Tribolium castaneum: one gene and its partners. The protein of the gene in region 3 purifies or fractionates together with the protein of the main gene of each other region. This does not show direct contact. Links are inferred from orthologs where the notes say so. Each region holds a gene or a part of one and is shown on either strand. Other genes may lie near its edges. The genes, in order: Psf2, Cdc45 and Mcm3.

Evidence for each region.
Region 1: the proteins of Mcm3 (region 3) and Psf2 purify together in Drosophila melanogaster (affinity purification with western blotting; 3 studies listed by BioGRID, with this or other methods). This does not show direct contact. The link is inferred for Tribolium castaneum from reciprocal best matches to the Drosophila melanogaster genes Mcm3 and Psf2.
Region 2: the proteins of Mcm3 (region 3) and Cdc45 purify together in Drosophila melanogaster (affinity purification with western blotting; 5 studies listed by BioGRID, with this or other methods). This does not show direct contact. The link is inferred for Tribolium castaneum from reciprocal best matches to the Drosophila melanogaster genes Mcm3 and Cdc45.

What each region holds. Positions count from the first base shown.
Region 1 is NC_087395.1:26,562,986-26,568,241, reverse strand, and holds Psf2 (probable DNA replication complex GINS protein PSF2), read left to right. Parts: upstream 1-2,556; 5' UTR 2,557-2,563; coding exon 2,564-2,811; intron 2,812-2,854; coding exon 2,855-3,125; intron 3,126-3,173; coding exon 3,174-3,254; 3' UTR 3,255-3,290; downstream 3,291-5,256. Other genes in the region: glutamate receptor ionotropic, kainate glr-3, read left to right, coding at 1-190, 243-677, 724-1,079, 1,127-1,442, 1,497-1,518; RWD domain-containing protein 4, read left to right, coding at 3,391-3,495, 3,543-3,652, 3,701-3,884, 4,047-4,214; RUS family member 1, read right to left, coding at 4,295-4,374, 4,425-4,602, 4,650-5,256. UniProt on the Drosophila melanogaster protein: The GINS complex plays an essential role in the initiation of DNA replication.
Region 2 is NC_087401.1:7,771,453-7,776,755, forward strand, and holds the end of Cdc45 (cell division control protein 45 homolog), read right to left. Parts: intron 5,270-5,303; coding exon 5,078-5,269; intron 5,028-5,077; coding exon 4,828-5,027; intron 2,024-4,827; coding exon 1,947-2,023; intron 1,899-1,946; coding exon 1,831-1,898; 3' UTR 1,734-1,830; downstream 1-1,733. Other genes in the region: nucleoredoxin, read left to right, coding at 1,316-1,686.
Region 3 is NC_087400.1:2,691,232-2,698,040, forward strand, and holds Mcm3 (DNA replication licensing factor Mcm3), read right to left. Parts: upstream 4,638-6,809; 5' UTR 4,509-4,637; coding exon 4,437-4,508; intron 4,383-4,436; coding exon 4,061-4,382; intron 4,015-4,060; coding exon 3,884-4,014; intron 3,834-3,883; coding exon 3,595-3,833; intron 3,327-3,594; coding exon 3,033-3,326; intron 2,980-3,032; coding exon 2,673-2,979; intron 2,619-2,672; coding exon 2,470-2,618; intron 2,211-2,469; coding exon 1,907-2,210; intron 1,836-1,906; coding exon 1,317-1,835; 3' UTR 1,271-1,316; downstream 1-1,270. Other genes in the region: glutamate dehydrogenase, mitochondrial, read left to right, coding at 1-131, 180-293; RNA-binding protein 7, read left to right, coding at 849-1,259. UniProt on the Drosophila melanogaster protein: Acts as a component of the Mcm2-7 complex (Mcm complex) (Mcm complex) which is the putative replicative helicase essential for 'once per cell cycle' DNA replication initiation and elongation in eukaryotic cells.

The DNA of each region.
Region 1 (5,256 bases), on a different chromosome or scaffold from region 3:
GGAAGTACACAGGCTTAGTGGGTGAGATGGTTAGTACCAACGCCGATATAGCGCTAGGGGATTTGTACTACACTCCGTACATTCTTGATTTGATGGATTTAAGCATTCCTTATAATACCGAGTGTCTCACGTTTCTAACACCTGAGTCACTGACTGATAATTCGTGGAAAACACTGATTCTACCTTTCAAGTATTTTAGGTTTGAATCTATACTTAGAATTAGTTTAAAACAAAAATTTTAGACCGGCAATGTGGGCTGCAGTCCTAGTTTGTCTTTTAATTTGTGGTGCCGTTTTTCATGCTTTAGCACGGTTTCATGAAACTATAAGCCAGAATAAATCGCAAGTTTTAGAAATTCATACGAAACGCAAAAAAATCATAATTTTATCAATTTGTCCCGAAATCGAGAAACTTGATTCTAATCTTAAATACACAAAAATGAGGGAACAATACAAACCTCCACGATTTGAAGGCCAGTCAATCGGACTCTATCAATTCAGTGAACCTTTCAATAGTGTTTTGTACACCTATAGTATGCTACTTTTAGTTTCTTTGCCCAAATTACCAACAGGTTGGTCGCTTCGCATGTTAACAGGGTGGTACTGGCTTTATTGTTTGCTACTTGTGGTAGCTTATAGGGCCAGTATGACTGCTATTTTAGCACGACCAACTCCTCGGTACTTCGGTCCAACTGCATTTTCCTTTTTTTAAATAAAATTGTAGCGTCACAATTGACACTCTTCAAGAATTGGTAAACAGTCGGTTGAAATGCGGCGGTTGGGGCGAAATAAATCGCCAGTTTTTTAAATCATCTCTCGACCCAATAACGAAATTAATCGGCGAAAATTTCGAACTAGTTAACGATTCAAACGAAGCAGTTGATCGTGTGGCACAAGGCGTGTTCGCATTTTACGAAAACAGCTATTACCTGAAGGAAGCTTTAGTAAAAAGACAATTACGATTTCAAATCGCTAGGACCACTCAGAATCAGTCCGAAAGAGAAATGCGCGATATTGCACGAGAGGATCGTAATTTGCATATAATGACGGACTGTGTCATCAAAATGCCCATTTCGATCGGTGAGATTAAACTAAACCGGAAAAATGCTTGACTGGGAGTTTTGCAGGGTTGCAGAAAAACTCACCGATTAAACCACGAGTTGATAAATATATTAGGCGAGTTTTGGAAGCTGGATTGATTAAAAAGTGGTTGCAAGACGTGATGGCGTCGATTTTAAACGCCGAAGTACAAAGTACGCAAGAGGAAATGAAAGCGATCATGAACATGAAAAAGTTTTTTGGGGCAATTGTAGCTCTATTTATTGGTTATTTCATCAGTGTTGTCGTATTAATTGTGGAGAATGTTTACTTTCATTTCTTTGTCAAAAGGAATCCGCATTACAACAAATACACCAGAAGCATTCATCACGTAAAAAAAGCGGAGTAATTATTACATGCATTCTTTTAGACTGTTCTTGTACTTCATTACTTTATTAGGAAATTTCATTTGACTTTCTGAGAGATAACAACAACATTAGTACTAACCACGATATAGAGACAGACAGGTAAACCAACTCGCTATTATAATTGATTCTAACGCTGGAGCAAGTTGATAGACGGCAGCACGGTAGACTGGGACTGTCACAATTTCACAAATTTTCTTTGTTTTTTATAAAAAAAATGATGCGAAATTAAAAAATGTTATCTCAGCACCCAAGTTAGTCATCTTGTAACAACTTCTGCTTTTTTCGCGCTGAAATAATAATATTTTCTGAATAGTTCTAAACTTCGGTTCGATGCATTTTCGGCCGCGAAAGACATCGAAACATTGAAGTCAGAATAAATGCTTTCCAGAAAAAAAACTCCACTACCATTCGGTGCTGGCATCCTTCAGGTATTAATTGTTCTTCATAAATGTCGTATTTTTAACAACGTGATGCGTGTATCTTTTTTCTTGTAAACATTGTGACAGTCCCAGTCTACGCTGGTGCCATCTGTCAGATAAAATAAAAGCTCCAACTTGCTCCACATTTTGGTTTGCGCCCGACAATGGAAAATAAGGGAAGTTGGTTCACCAGGACTATCTATACATGGTGGTACTAACTGTGACAACTGTCAAAAGCAGCGTATTGGTGTAAAGTCAAAGCCCTCTTGACAATTTTTCCAAAAGTGTGATTACAGGCATTTATCAAACTTTTTGAGCAAAATAATCCTTCCTATTAAGAGTTGATTGAAATGTTTCACATCTTTGTCTTTGTCGTTTTCTCTTTGAAGTCACGCAAAATTTTCCCCATCTGCCCCCCTCAAAAATCTAAGTTGTGTCGTTAAGGGTAACTGTGACAAAAAGACCTATGACGATTCTGTGGGTGTAAGACAGCGCGCAACCCCTTATATATTAGTATAGTCATGTATAGTATAATTTATTAAATAAAAAACACGGTTTTCGCACTTTATTTTTAAATGATTTGTGAACTTGGCATTATTCAATTTCGCGCATGCGCCTTACTTTTGGCGCCAAAATTATTGAGGTTATTCAAACGTGAAAAATCTTCGACCATTGAAAAATGGATCCTGAAGAGGTTGAATTTTTGGGTGAGAAACAACTAGTCACGATTGTCCCACTGACCACAGACGATGACTACCTTAAACTAATTTCGGGTGATTTTGGCCCATTTCGTATGGGTATGCCTGTTAAAGTACCGTTATGGGTTGCTGTCCAATTAAAGCGACAAAAACATTGCAAAATACAACCCCCTGATTGGATGGAAATCGAGACTTTGGAGGCGATTAAAAACGAAGAGAAACTTTCTAGGTGTGAGTACTTTTGTTAGCCTTTAAGTGCAACAAAATTGTAGGAACTTTACGAAAATGCCCAGTAAGTTCTACATGGTCGAAGCGAAACAAATTTTGGGGTGCGCCTCTGATGATATTTCACGTGCGGATGAAATAAGAACGATAATTAAAGATATTTGGGACATAAGAATGTCAAAATTGAGGTCTTCAATTGATTTATTGGTTCGGAATAATGGGGCTTCTGCTGTCGTTACAAACTTAACTTTGATGGAAATTAATTCGATTAGACCGATTTTACCACACACTTTAGATCAGATACGCCGAATGAAAAACGTGAGTGATTTTTTCTAGTAAAAAAGGGAGGTTATGTGAATTTTTTAGTTTAAACCGTTTCACGGCTGGCGTTCCCAGGACACATCCTTTGTATCAGATTCACGGAGCTCCACTAGTTTTCACTCTTGATTATGTATAAAATCCAAATAAAATCTTTGAAATCTGTCTTCTGTCAAATTATTAAGGTTATGTCACCCGAAAGTTGGGTTATGTATTTTTAGAAAATTTTACATTTTTGTAAATAGAAATGTTTTAAATTGTTACAATGTCAGAGACTGAGCTTCAGGATGAAGAGCGCGAAGTTCTGTCGTCAATTTACGACGGAGACGACTGTTTTAAGCAGATTTCGTCCAACACCTTCCAATATAAAGTGAGTCATTTGGGGGCCCAAAACAATTACAATAACCATTTTTTCAGTATGGGGAGAGTGATGCTACGAAATCATTTCTATTGGAAATACAATGGGGTGAAAAGTACCCCAACGCAGCACCTAAAGTGAACATGGACACTTTTTACAATAAACACATGTAAGTGCTCCCCTTTGTTCAAAGTTCGTTCTCAAGTCGTGTGTTTAGTATCAAGCCTTTGAAAGACAAGATTGTGTCTGCGGTGGAAGAGGAGGCGCAACAGTATTTAGGAATGTCAATGACTTACTCCTTGTTTGAATTTATCAAAGAAAAATTTGAGGTGCTTATGTTGGAACAACCGGAAGAAATTGCGGAAACGGTTGAGAAATCACCTAGCCCCGAACTTGAACAAGTTAGTAATTTCATATTTAGTTATCCATGGAAATGAAAAGGCATTACTTTGATTGAACCATTTGTGGTAAATGTCAAAATAGTGGTGGTTTTAATTAATTTCATTTACATGGATGACTAGATGACGACTTTTTTTTATTATACGATATATTTTTTTTTAAAGGCGACGAGTCAGAAAGTTCCAAAAAAGGAACACTTGACCAAAGCCCAAAAGCGCCGTCAGTGGAATCGAATTGACAATAAAGGGGAGAAGCCCCGAGGCTGGAATTGGGTCGATATTATCAAACATTTATCGCAAACAGGGCCTAAAGAACCAACACCCACGTCATAAATAACTGTATTTTTATTAAAAATATATATTTTTTATCAAAAACTGTTATTCATTCAACCATAAAAACTGTATAAAAATATTTATAATGACTTTTTATCAAAGTCTTTCCATTGCGCTCGCCACTCGTCCACGTAAAGGCAGTGACTGTCGGTTTTCCACCCTAAAAAAAAAGAAAATTGTTGGTAATGAATTAATTTCAATTCTTTTTACCATTGACTTGCAGCGCTGTGAAAAACATTTCGATTTCTTGTCCCACAAATTCGGTAAAAGCTTGTAGGAGGGGTGGGGGGAGATTACTAGCTATGTTATTATTTTGGTAGTTTTTCATAAAAGTACTCAATCTGGTGATTGGAGTGGAATGATGTAATTGTCGCTTTGAATAAATTTCCTACAAAAAAAATCTAAATTTTTTTGGTGATTTAAATAACTACATACAAGTGTAACTCTATTATAAATACAAGTGGCAAGTCCAAGTAATACTGCATGATAAAAGCCTGCTATAACTTCTTGAGGCGTTTCACCTTTTTCAAAAGTTACATAAATGGTTCTCGTTTTTAAATCAGGTACAATCAGATATTTTTTGTCTTTGTAAATTTCCGTCAAACTTTTCAATTCATCTGAATTATAACGTCGCAAAGTCTTTCCAAGTGCCTGTCCCAGAACTATCTTAAAACCACAAAACTTCTCAACGCTTGTCCCAAATCCCAAAAAAACTGATTCAGTTTTATTGATACATTCAGGGCCTAGCACTGCATTAACAGCCAGATAACTCTTCAATATCAAGGTCATTCGTAAATTATTCAAATTCTTGAAAATGAGGGCAGTGACGGCTTGATAATTCGAATACAAGTGGAGAAAAATCAAGAGAAATGTCACAATCCATTGAGTGGTGGCATCCGTAAAGTAATTAATTAGAAAAATTCCAGTGAAACTTGCAATCAAGTTGACGAGTGTCTCTTGGCTGCCATCTTTGGCGGCAATCTCCGCCATGTTGCCTTTAATCGCTTGGTGATTGGTTATGGAAGCACGAGTGGCGCCACCT
Region 2 (5,303 bases), on a different chromosome or scaffold from region 3:
ATTTTTGAATTCGCCTCTTGAAACTGAGTAAAATGTACTTAGTACTTATCTGCCATAGTTTTTGACGTATGTCAATTTTTTATACAAATTTTCACTTACAGGGGTTTATTTAAAATATCACAGCTCGTGAACCCTTTACAATAAGGGAATAATTCTTCTTGCAATTGATAGCCAAAGGTTTGAAGGGTTTTCTCAAATCTTCAGGATTGCCAACTATCAAATTACAAGCCTACTATGATTTTTTGAAAATGATGCTCAAAAAATAATTATAAAACAGTTTTTTCAAATGGAATGACCCCTCAATGGCAATCAAAAGCGCATCAATTTTTTTATTTTTATTATCATCATCTATATCTATTTCTTTCAGTTTTTGAATAATTGCAATAAACAGAATTTTAGCTCATTACTTTCATTTTTAATCAAGTAAACTTTCGAGGAATTCGATAAAATTGTGCTATTAACTAAAAAAAAATATCCAATTTGTTTACGATTTTCATTCAAACAGTTCAAAATTCAATGGCAGACTAAGCGAGTTACTTTACAGCACTAAGTTATAATAAACTATAATTAAATATTATAATTTTACTACTTATTCGATAATGAACCTCACCTAAAAACTAAATAAGATATTGAAGTTTGACAATTGTTGACCATTTTGCAAGGTCTACTTGATTAACTATGAAAATTACCAACTAAAATCCGTTTTTTGTGATTTTTTCAAAAACGGTAAGACATAGGTATCGGACGCATTGATAAAAGTCACAGTCAGGACGTGCCATTTGAAAAATTAAGATATAGCAGTTTTTTGATAACCATTGTGGAAAGATCCTACTAGCCATGAATTTTGACAGTCGACAATTTTGAAAAATCTAGAAGACTCTTCAGACCTTCACTTATCGCAAAGGGTTCAAGGGCTGTGATATTTGAGATAAACATTTGCAAAAAAAATGTTAACAAAAAAATTTACATATATGTCAAAAACTATAACAGATAAGTAAGTACAAACAACTTGGGTAAATTTTACTCAGCTTGAGAGGGTAAATTCAAGTATGCAATAAAAATGTGTGGTTACTATTTAAAATTTTAAACTTGGCGCCATTTTTTGTAGATGAGAAAGCTCAACTACTTCGGAAATATTTAGTTGAACTCAGATTGGATCGTATGCAAAATTTTTAAACTCCAGCTATATTAGAAGTTAAAAAATTTGTAATGTAGGCCCTAAAAGATTCATCCTGTATATAATGTTCACTCGTATGTTAAGAACAGTAATTTTTTAACAATTATTTTTATCTTTTTACAAACTTTTATTTCCCAGACGGCGAAGAGACCGAACTCCAGTTCGCAGAATCGGTCCTGTCCCCAGCCGCCGACTCCTACTACAAGAAGCACAACATCAACTTCAACTCAGCCCCTGAGGACTTCTTCTCCAACTGCGAGGACGACCACTACCTCCAGTTCCTCATCGGGCTCGACTCCGAAACCAGCGACATTCTCCGCGACTTGATCGGTCTCGATGACGTGGTGCCCCTCCTCGTTGGCATCGACATCCCCAACCGACGCTTCGCCGTCATGGAGTACGGCGTGGAAATCACCGTCGACTCCGTCAGCGACTTCGTCGAGCGCTTCCAAAAAGGCGAAGTGAAATTCATCGAATTGAACGAACGAGTGGGAGAGGAACAGAGTTAGGTGGTGTAAGGTGTAGCAGTGTAGATGAGTTAATCAAAAGTGTACAGTTTGTTGTTTTGTAGCATTTAATTACCTATAAAATAGTGTCAATTCACACAATTATATACAATTGAAAAATAAATAAAAAAAATTATTTACACTATTTTATTTGTCGAAAAGTGCAGTCAATGCGTCAAAAAACCTCGTCCTGTCCTTGATATTAATCTCAAAATCTGAAAAAATCCACTACTTTCGACAAACAAACAAAAAAATTAACTTACAAGAAGTGTCAAAATAATCCGACAAGACTTCATAATTTATATTTTCAGCTGCTTCCTCAAAGGCCCGGCCTAAATTACTAAAATCACAATATAAAAATAAAATCACCAAATTGTACAGCTGCCTAAAAAGAAAACGACGCGTCCATAAAAAACCTTATTTCTTTGCGAATTAATGAAAAAAATTGAAGATTTATTTATTTCATTAAAGTTTTTGTTGCAAAATAAAATAAGTGACAATTAAAAAAAAGATCATTTCTTTTTGTTGTCGGTGTAGTATTTTCATTAAAGACTGAAAGATCACTTTGCTATCGGTTGTCCAAAAAATATTTTAAATTAAAAAATAATTATTATTTATAAAATCTCACTGCTACAAATTATACAGGCTGATTCTTTTGGGGCCGACATTATAAACTTTTTAACTTCTAATATAGCTAGAGCTTTAAGATTTTGTATACAATCTAAATCAATCGACCATTATGAGTTCAACAAAATTATTTTCAAAATGACAAAATTTCCGGAACTACAAGAAATTGGCGCCAACTTTGAAATTTGAAATAGTAACCACCTATTTTTATTGCATTTTTGAATTCGCTTCTTGAAACTGAGTAACATGTACCCAGTTGTTAGTACTTATCTGTCATAGTTTTTGACGTATGTCAATTTTTTTATACAAATTTTCATTTGCGGGGGTTCATTTAAAATATTACAGCTCGTGAACCCTTTACAATAAGTGAATAATCTTGCATTTGATAGCCAAAAGTTTAAAGAGTCTTTTTAAGTCTTTAGGATTACCAACTGTCAAATTGCAAGGCTAATATGATTTTTTAAAAAAGATGATTAAAAAATGATTATAAAAGAGTTTTTTTAATGAAATGATTGATGGCAGTCAAAAAAAACATCAATTGTTATGCAGACTTTTATTAACATCTTCTATATCTATGTCTTACAGTTTTTGAAATAATCGCAAAAAACTGAATTTTAGCTCATTATTTTCATGTTTAATCAAGTAAACTTTCGAAAAATACGACAAAATTGTGCTATTAATTAAAACAAATGTTCGATTTGTTCACCATTTTCGTTCAAGAAGTTCCAAATCCGATGGCAGACTGACTGAGTTACTTTTCAGTTTTGTTGCTTATTGGATAATGAACCAGCTAAAAACTAAATAAAATATTGAAGTTTGACAATTATTGACCATTTTACTGGTCTACTTGATTAACTATGAAAATTAAAAAGTAAAATCCGTTTTTGGGATTTTTTTCAAAAACTGTATGAAATAGGTATAGGACGGGTTGATAAAAGTCACCATAAATATGGATATTCTTTCGATTGCCATTAAAAAAAGGGGGTCGTTCGAGTTGAAAAAACAGAGTTAATAGCAGTTTTTTGAGAACCATTTTGAAAAATCATACTAGCCATGAATTTTGACAGTTGACAATTTCGAAAATTCTAGAAAGCTCTGCAAACCTTCGGTTATCAATTGCAAAAAAATTATTCACTTTATCGCAAAGGGTTCAAGGGATGTGATTTCTTAGATAAACTCTTGCAAATAAAAATTTTAACAAAAAAATTGACATATATCGAAAACTATAACAGGTAAGTACCAACAACTTGGGTAAATTTTACTCAGCTTGAGAAGGTGAATTCAGATATGCAATAAGAATGTGTGGTTACTATTTAAAAATTTCAAACTTGGCGTCAATTTTTTGTAGTTCCGAAAGCATTTTGGCATTTTGAAACCAATTTAGTTGAACTCAGAATGGTCGATTTAAATGATATACAAAATTTTAAAGCTCTAACTGTATTAAAAGTTGAAAAATATCCATAAAACTGTCCATAAATTGTTCATAAAACAAAATAGAAAACAAAATTATAGTAATACAATTGTATTTCAAATTTCACGTAAAGATGTCTGTACTTTTAATCGTTTTAATTATTAACCACAAAAAAGGTTTTATTAAAATTTTTGTTTATTAAATGTTTCAATTAGTGTAACCAGAATAAAAAAGTTATCAATGAACATTAAAGTATTTCATTTATGGAAATACCATGATTAAAATTTTGACCATTACTGCAAATAAGGTTCACTGGAAATATTTAACAACACCTACACAAGACCACAGTCACCACAAGAGATAACTTAAGACCAAATTTTTCCAATTCTTCTTCAAACTGATAACCATTTATAATTTTTTTTAAAACAAATGAAAGATTAAAAAAAATCAAGTTTGTCACGACGTTTTGACCCTTTAAGAGGGCAGAAAAATTGTCGATTTGTTTGCAAATTTAAATTATTAGTTCATTAATGCAAAATAAGTTCAAGAGTCGGTTTACAGAACATTTTAATTGCAATAAAAATTTTTCTGAGATTAACTTTACATTTGTCAATCTATTTTCAGTGGCAACTTAATGTCGAATTAGTTTTATTCCGAATTAAGTTTTAATTTCGCTTTCTGTAAAGTTAACCGGTTCTAAATGCCCAATTATTATTTCATTTTATTTACAATACCATTTCCAATTCATAAATTATTTAAGTAGTTAAATTGTCACTGCATTTTGTATCTGTTTAATTTTTATAAGTTGTTGAATTCAAAAAAGCGAACCCACAAAAAATAATCTCTTTTTTAAATTGAATTGCCACAAATTTTTTGGAAATGAAAAATTATAACTTTAAGAAAACTTGAAGCTTTAAAACTTTGCTTTAAGATTTTCGAACTCAATCCTTTCTTAATTTTTTTCTTTCCGCGATAAATCAATTATTTTGCAACAAAACCTTTTACTTTAAAAAACATATTAAACAGCAAATTAAAGGATTTATGATGGGATTGGTTTATGGTCGCGTCATTTTCTTTTTGGGCGGCTGTACGTTTAGTTTAGTTACTTTTTGGGTGAATTTTGCCTCAGCGGTGGAATCCCCAAAATAACACACGTCCCTAAATCTAGATTTTTTGGTGCTGAAATAATTAAAGGCAAGTCAGGGGCTTTACGATTCCGTGACATTGACACATAAGCCCGTAATATAAATTGTGCCAACAATAACAAAATATATTGGTTTGAAAACATATACCAGTCTAAACAACCCTATAAAACAAAAATTAAAATCAAACAACTTGACTAACAATTCAACTCACTTCTTGTATGATGTAATAAACAAAATTCCCGGCTGTGATAATTTGTTTCATATCAATGGCCGCTTGTACAGTCTTAAAAATCGTCTTTGTGATTATCTTTGCACGTTCTATTGCTTTTTGTACTACGTCTTTTTTATTACGAGTGAGGCAATCAAGTGCCGAATTAAAACACTCTTCTGGCGTTTCCTTCGGCTAAAAACAGCTATTTATGTGAGAGAATTATCAA
Region 3 (6,809 bases):
ATTATTTTGATGCGGAAAAGGTTCAAGGACAGGTTGTTTCGACCGCGACGACACAAAAAATTCTCTGTTGTGACGTTAAGCCCGACATTTTGTCGTACGGGATCGAGCATGTAATGGCGGAAACGGGCAAAGTGGGGCTAAGTGGAAATTTTGGCTGTGTTTCTAATTTTTTATTGTAGGAATTGATCGAAATTGCAAAGGAATTCAGAATTGACTTGGATTTGAGGACAGCGGGGTACATTAAGGCCGTTCAGAGCATTCACAATTCGATTTACGAAGCGAAAAAATACTGATTTTGTGAATTCCAAAATGTATTAAAGTGTAATAAATGATAAATCTTCCCTGAGAACGCATTTTTGTAAACTTTAATGTAATAAATAATTATCTTAGATTTTTTGAGTGACGTTTGTTGTGTGAATGCGGCTTTAGAATCAAGTGACTTTTTTTAGTAACCAGTTTTTTTATTTGAAAAGCAACTGTGGTGCAAATAACTAACCCATTATCACAATAATTCACATAAAAGTGCACCTTAATGGGTTTTTAATTAAAAAAACAGGTATACATAACTAAATTAAAGGTGCGTTTAGAGCTCTACAACCCACTGGATTGCACCTATAATGTTGGGCTTTGAAAATTAAAATAAAAAATTGGCACTGTTCTTTAAGCGTTAATTAAAAAAAAATAATTTTATTATACGAAAACAAGGCAAAAGAAAAAATTCTAAATGATCAAAGATAAGCAAGTGGCACAGTTGGCGCCTCGAAGAATTGGCGCTTGCGCGCGTGACGTTTGAGGTTATGTGGCATAAACAAACCCCAATTTTTTCCAAATAAAACCCACAAAACGCCATGGACGACCAAACACGCACCCTCTGGTGCGGCAACCTATCGGAGAAAGTGACCGAAGAGCTCCTGTGGGAGTTATTTCTGCAAGTGGCCCCCTTAGAGCGCGTCCGAATCCCAACCGACAAAAGCGGCCGTAAAACAAACTACGGCTTCGTTACAGTCAAACACGAGTGCTCCGTTAGTTACGCCGTGCGCCTACTTGACGGTACCCCCCTTTTCGACCGCAGGATCATCATAAAACCGAAGGGCCAAAATGTTCAGCAGCCCAGCCCTGGAGACATGTACAGGAACCCCTACCAGCACAACAGGCCCCACCGGCAGACGCCCTACCAAAGGTACGACAATCATAATCACAACCACAACCATAGGCCCAACTGGAATAATAATAATCACAGGAACCGCAGGAGATATTGAAATAAAACCAATTTTTTATTAAAAAAATCGCAGTTTTTATTTAATTAATTGTTACAATTAGATGAGAAATACGATCCCGTCCGCCAACATCACTTGGTTGGCTTCAGTCATTTGGTCAATTGCGGCTCGGATTTCGCCTTGGCTGAAGGGGGCTATATTGTCAGTGTTGACGGAGTCGCGGATGCGGGCAAGACTTAGAGACTGCGCCCTGTTGTCCCGGAAAGCCCTGTCGAGACTTGACCGAAACTGAGTCAGCCTCTCACTCGTGATCATGGCAGGCGTTGAGTCAATTTCAATTGTTTCAGTCTCCATTTCTTCCTCACTTTCTTCCACTTCTTGCCGCGATTTCTTCGTTCTTTGTGATTCCTCCTCCATTTCTTCATTTTCGGACTCGGATTGTGCGTTTCTTCGCCGTTTTTTCTCCTTCTCGAGCACTTTTTTGAAATAGGCATATTGCACCAATTCAATTGCTGCGTAGGCGTCTTGTGCGGTAACAGTGCGAGACATGCGGGCTTTGGCATGCGCTGTGGCCAATCGGATCATGGTTTCAAGCGTACGGGGTGTCACAGGTTGTGTCTTCGAAAAAAAAATTATGCACGAGACGAAGACGAGTGACTATACCAAAAAAACCTATAAGTGGAACCTACCCGGGCGACGTGATTTTCAAGGACGTCCTCCGACCTGAGTTTGGAGTACTCATCGGCGATGATTTCCGACGCTTGTTCGGTTAGTGTCGGTTTGAGGATTTTCACGAAATGGATGTATTTACGCATGAAATCCACACTTAGGATTTTGTCGGTTTTTTTGCGACTTTCACCGTGTAGAAGTGCGTCGTATTTTTCATACATGGGGGTGACCTTGTCGTCGTCGACTTCCTCGGGGCGCATTGTACTCAACATGTCCACGCTTGAGCCCATTGGCAGGACTTCGCCATCTTGCTCACCCGGATTTCTAATATTTTTATCAAGTTCAAAATTAGTATTTATAATTTTTTATTAATTTTTTTTTACTTATTTATTTTTAATTAACTGTATCTGTCATTTTAAAGTCATATTATTTATTATTTATATTATTAACCCCCTTGGAGGTGGAAGTTCAATTTGCAGATTTAAATTAATTAACTATATTTTTTGGGTACGATTTTGTATCTCGTTCCGCCTCCTAACACACAGTCCTCCGTAGTCCGCACAAGCCTACTAAAAAAAAATACCTATATCGGTGCATCCTGACCACGTGATCCGAAATCATCAAATCATGATCCTCATCCACTGAATCCAACATCACGAACAGCAAATCAAACCGCGACAGGAGCGAGTCTTGCAACCCGATGTTTTCCATTGGCGTCTTGTACTGATCATACTACAAATCACCCAATCAAATCGCTGCTTTCGCAACCGACCAATCAAACCCCACCTTTCCGTAAACCGGATTGGCCGCCGCCAAAACCGAGCACCTGGCATTCAAACTTGCGTGAATCCCCGCCTTGGCAATAGTGACACGCCCCTGTTCCATGACCTCATGAATGGCCGTCCTGTCCATATCCGACATCTTGTCGAACTCATCAATGCACACGACGCCACGATCGGCCAAAACCATCGCACCGGCCTCTAACCGCCTCTCGCCGGTCTCCTGATCGGTTGTAACCGCTGCGGTTAGACCAACCCCCGACGATCCACGCCCAGTGGTGGGAATGGCCCGAGGGGCGGTGCATAACACGTATCTCCATGGCAACTGCCAATCACAATCAACGATTCACAAATCGAGTCGACTTACCGGAGGAGCTGTGACTTAGCAACGCTGGGATCGCCAATCAGTAACACGTTTATGTCCCCTCTTAGGCGCGTCCCATTGGGCAGGATCTTCTCGACTCCGCCCAAAAGGAGGCACAGGATCGCCTTCTTGATGTACTCGTGGCCGTGGATTGACGGCGCCAAAGACTTGGCTAATAATTCAAAGACGTTTTTGTTCGATTTGGCCAAGTTTTTACATTTGGCGACGTCTTCACGTGAAATGGAAGGATTTGCTTCTTTTGACAGTTGGGACACGTTACTTGCAATCACCACAGTGCTGCAAACATTAATCCCGTGGCAAAAAAATGACTAAATCACACTAATTGTTAACTATTTTTGAATGAAAATAAAGACAGTGGGGCACCAAGTCGGATCAAGTGTGTTGTTTACGTGACTATATTATTGTTTAAAACACATTTTCGTAATGTAATGATTGTTTTATGGCGTCCTGTCAATTCTAGTTCCAAAACCAAAATCACCAGCTTTTTAAAATTTGGCCCCAATTATTTTTTTATGTTTTTGCTTAATAATTATGGGAAAAATACCGGAAAATGCCGTTAGTGAAGCTCCCCTGTTTGTTGGGAAGGCACCGGTAGTTCCCCACCACTTGTATGCGGTCCCCGGGTTTGCACCTATCAACAAGGTCATTATCGCAGATTATATCAACCGAACGGGGCAACTGCCCCGCGGGGGCCTTTTCAGGCATCTCCTGAATGGAAATAGTTTGGTGGTCTTTATACACCGAAAGCCCAAATTCTGTCTCCAATAAATTGCCATCCTCGTCCTAAACCACTCAAATTAATTGATAAAAAATACAAAAAAGACACGACTGACTTTAGTGGGGTACACCGACGATGTGGGGAAGGCATCTAACGAAGTCAAATCAGTGTATTTCCTTTCCATTACTTTTTTCGTTACTGGACAAAAGTGGACACTCCGGACGACCTTGGGGTGCACCAACGAGCCTTAAAAACCAACCGGTAACGCAAGAAAGACGCAAACAAGTCCTACATTTCGTCACAATCCCCTCAACACAGACCAAATTCCCCAAAAACCTCGAAGTCAAACTCCTTGGAGTAACATGCTTATTGCCGAAGCTCCCCTCAAAGGCGATGAAAAACTCGTCGTTTTCCTTGGCATAGTCGTGCGCGACTGTGTAAACATACTCTTTGAGGGCTTTCTGAAACGCCGAATGCTCCTCAAAAGCGTTAGTGAGGAGGGCGGCAGCCCTGGCCGGGTTTTTGCGGCGCAAATCATTGACATTCACCACAAGCCGCAAACTGTGGTCCGCAACCATGTTTTTAACAAGTGTGGCGTACTTGCCTTGGTCCTCCTACGGGAATTTGGGGTTAAAACACGGGGGGAAGGCAACACCACCAATTCGTACCTCGTCATCGAGGAAGTCCAAGTACTCGTGCTGCATGTCGCGGAGGCGCTGGTCTAGCTCCTGGGGGTCCATAATGGGGCACTTAACACTGGAAATGCGGGTAATAACGGGCGAAAACACGGGAGGAGTTTTGGCGGGAAAAGAGCCACAGCGGTGTTGCCAAGTCGGGCCTGGGTGGCCAGATAGCTGGCACCATGAACATTACAATCGACCAGACAAATCATAATAAAAACATCAATAAGCTGTTACAGTGACTTGCATATCACATTTGCAGAACATCTCCTGACCGTTTTAATGTGTTTCTATTACAAATTAAAACTTAACTGCATTTAATTTCTACATTTTTTATTCCCTTATTCTCAGCAATTGTCTGGTCAACTGTCATGTGGGAACAGTGTCTAGCTGTTGACACCTTGTAGCAGCGTGTGAGCGTCGTGAGCGTGTTGTGCATCGATTAACAGGTAAGTCTTGATTGTCTTGATATTTATTAAATGTTATAAGTAAAATGTAATTCGTCTGACATTATGTTTATTTTCAACGATTGTGTCTAAAATTAAAGTAAATCAAATAACTGAATCCTGACCCACGACCACGTGGTTTTTATATTGTAATTGTTTTCGCGTCCAAAACATGGCAGTAATTACATAATAACTAGAATAATTATATTTATTATACTGTTATCACTAGGAAGTTGTAACACGTGTTGTACGGTAGGCAAAATTGCTTATCTGAATTTGTGTTTTTGTAAAGGTTTTTAAATATCGCAGAGAAAATGGCTGCTTAACGCTGACTCGTACTGTAAGTTGTTTCTATTGTTGTAATGTACAACTTTCACTTTCCTGTTAAATGTGCAACCCTCAATCCTTAACCGCTCGTGACGCCCCCCTTCTGGGAGCAGGTAGTTTTTCCTTCTTAAAAAGGACCGTCACAAAAATGAGGGAAGGAGACGCGATGTAGAGCTAAAAGTAAATTGTTGTAACGTTGTAAGTTGTTGGAAGTTTGTAGAGAATAAATCTGTTGAATTTTACACCGAGTATATTAATATTTCCCCTTTCTGAAGTATCACGAAATCGTGGATACAACACTATTCTTAGGTCCAAATCGCACAATAGGTATTTTTTTTATACTTGGAAGTAAGTGAATAATCTCATTTATCGGAAGAAAGGCATACCTATATTCAGAATACCAATTATTCATTAAACTCAACTAGTTTGTTAAAGTTAACTAATTGCCTTTCGCAGTTACTTTATAATAGCATACTTTACAGGCAAATAAGCTTGACCATTAATAAACTTACCTACTCATTCTATCAACAACACAATTTCTCTCAAAGTTAGTTGCATTCCAAAAAAAAATATATATATATATATATACATTACATTATCATTATTACATTATTATCATCGATTAAATTATAATGAAAACATGTCTTTACCACAATTGTTGTTATATTGTTTATTACCGAATCTTTGCTATAAAACTATTATACAATTTATTATATGCTCTTTGGTTAACTTGATAATATTTTTAATCATCTCTCTTAATTTCAATTATCGTTTCAATTTGCTTTATCTGACTATCTTTTCGAGTGATTCTCCTATATTCAAATAAAACTTTTTAGTGTATTCCAAATATGAATAAAATATTTCTTCCAAAGTAATATAATATTCTTTAATTTCTTGATCCGTTTTTGTATTTAATGTTATTATTAGGGATTTAATATTACGAACACTCAATAAAATCCATATTGTTTTATTTAAATTAACTATTTGGCGAAATATTTATAATATATTTTGTTATCAATTTTTTATAATATGATAATTCATTTTTAATCTTATCATAATTTATTATTTGGTATTCTATTTTATAGTTTTCTAAAATTTTCTTTAAATCTTTCTTAATATCGCGTAAATTCAGTGGGGGATAGCCACCCCCCACTGAAATTCCATATTGTATAAAGCATAAAAGATCATTTGTTATTATTATATTTTTCTTTTAAATAACGTAAACCATATATCGGTCAACCACGTACTCAAATTAATTTTATAGGAGTAGTTATTTTTATTTATAAAGTCCAACAGGTTTAATGGATTAGCATTAATTTTATAATTATGTATTGCCTTAAAAGATTATATTCGTTAACGTTAGTTTCCTATTTATCTAGCAATTCTTCTAATTTAAAATGATATTTCCTAACTTTTTTTTGCCTTATTGTTATTCAACATCATTATTAATTCTTTAAAATTTTTAATCATTTTGTATATATTTATACAAATTTGCTTTAGCATTTTTATAATCTATTTCTTCGTATGAGATTTCCTAGTCCTTTAAAAAGTTCTTAAAATCGCGTTATTTCTTCAATAAATCCCATGA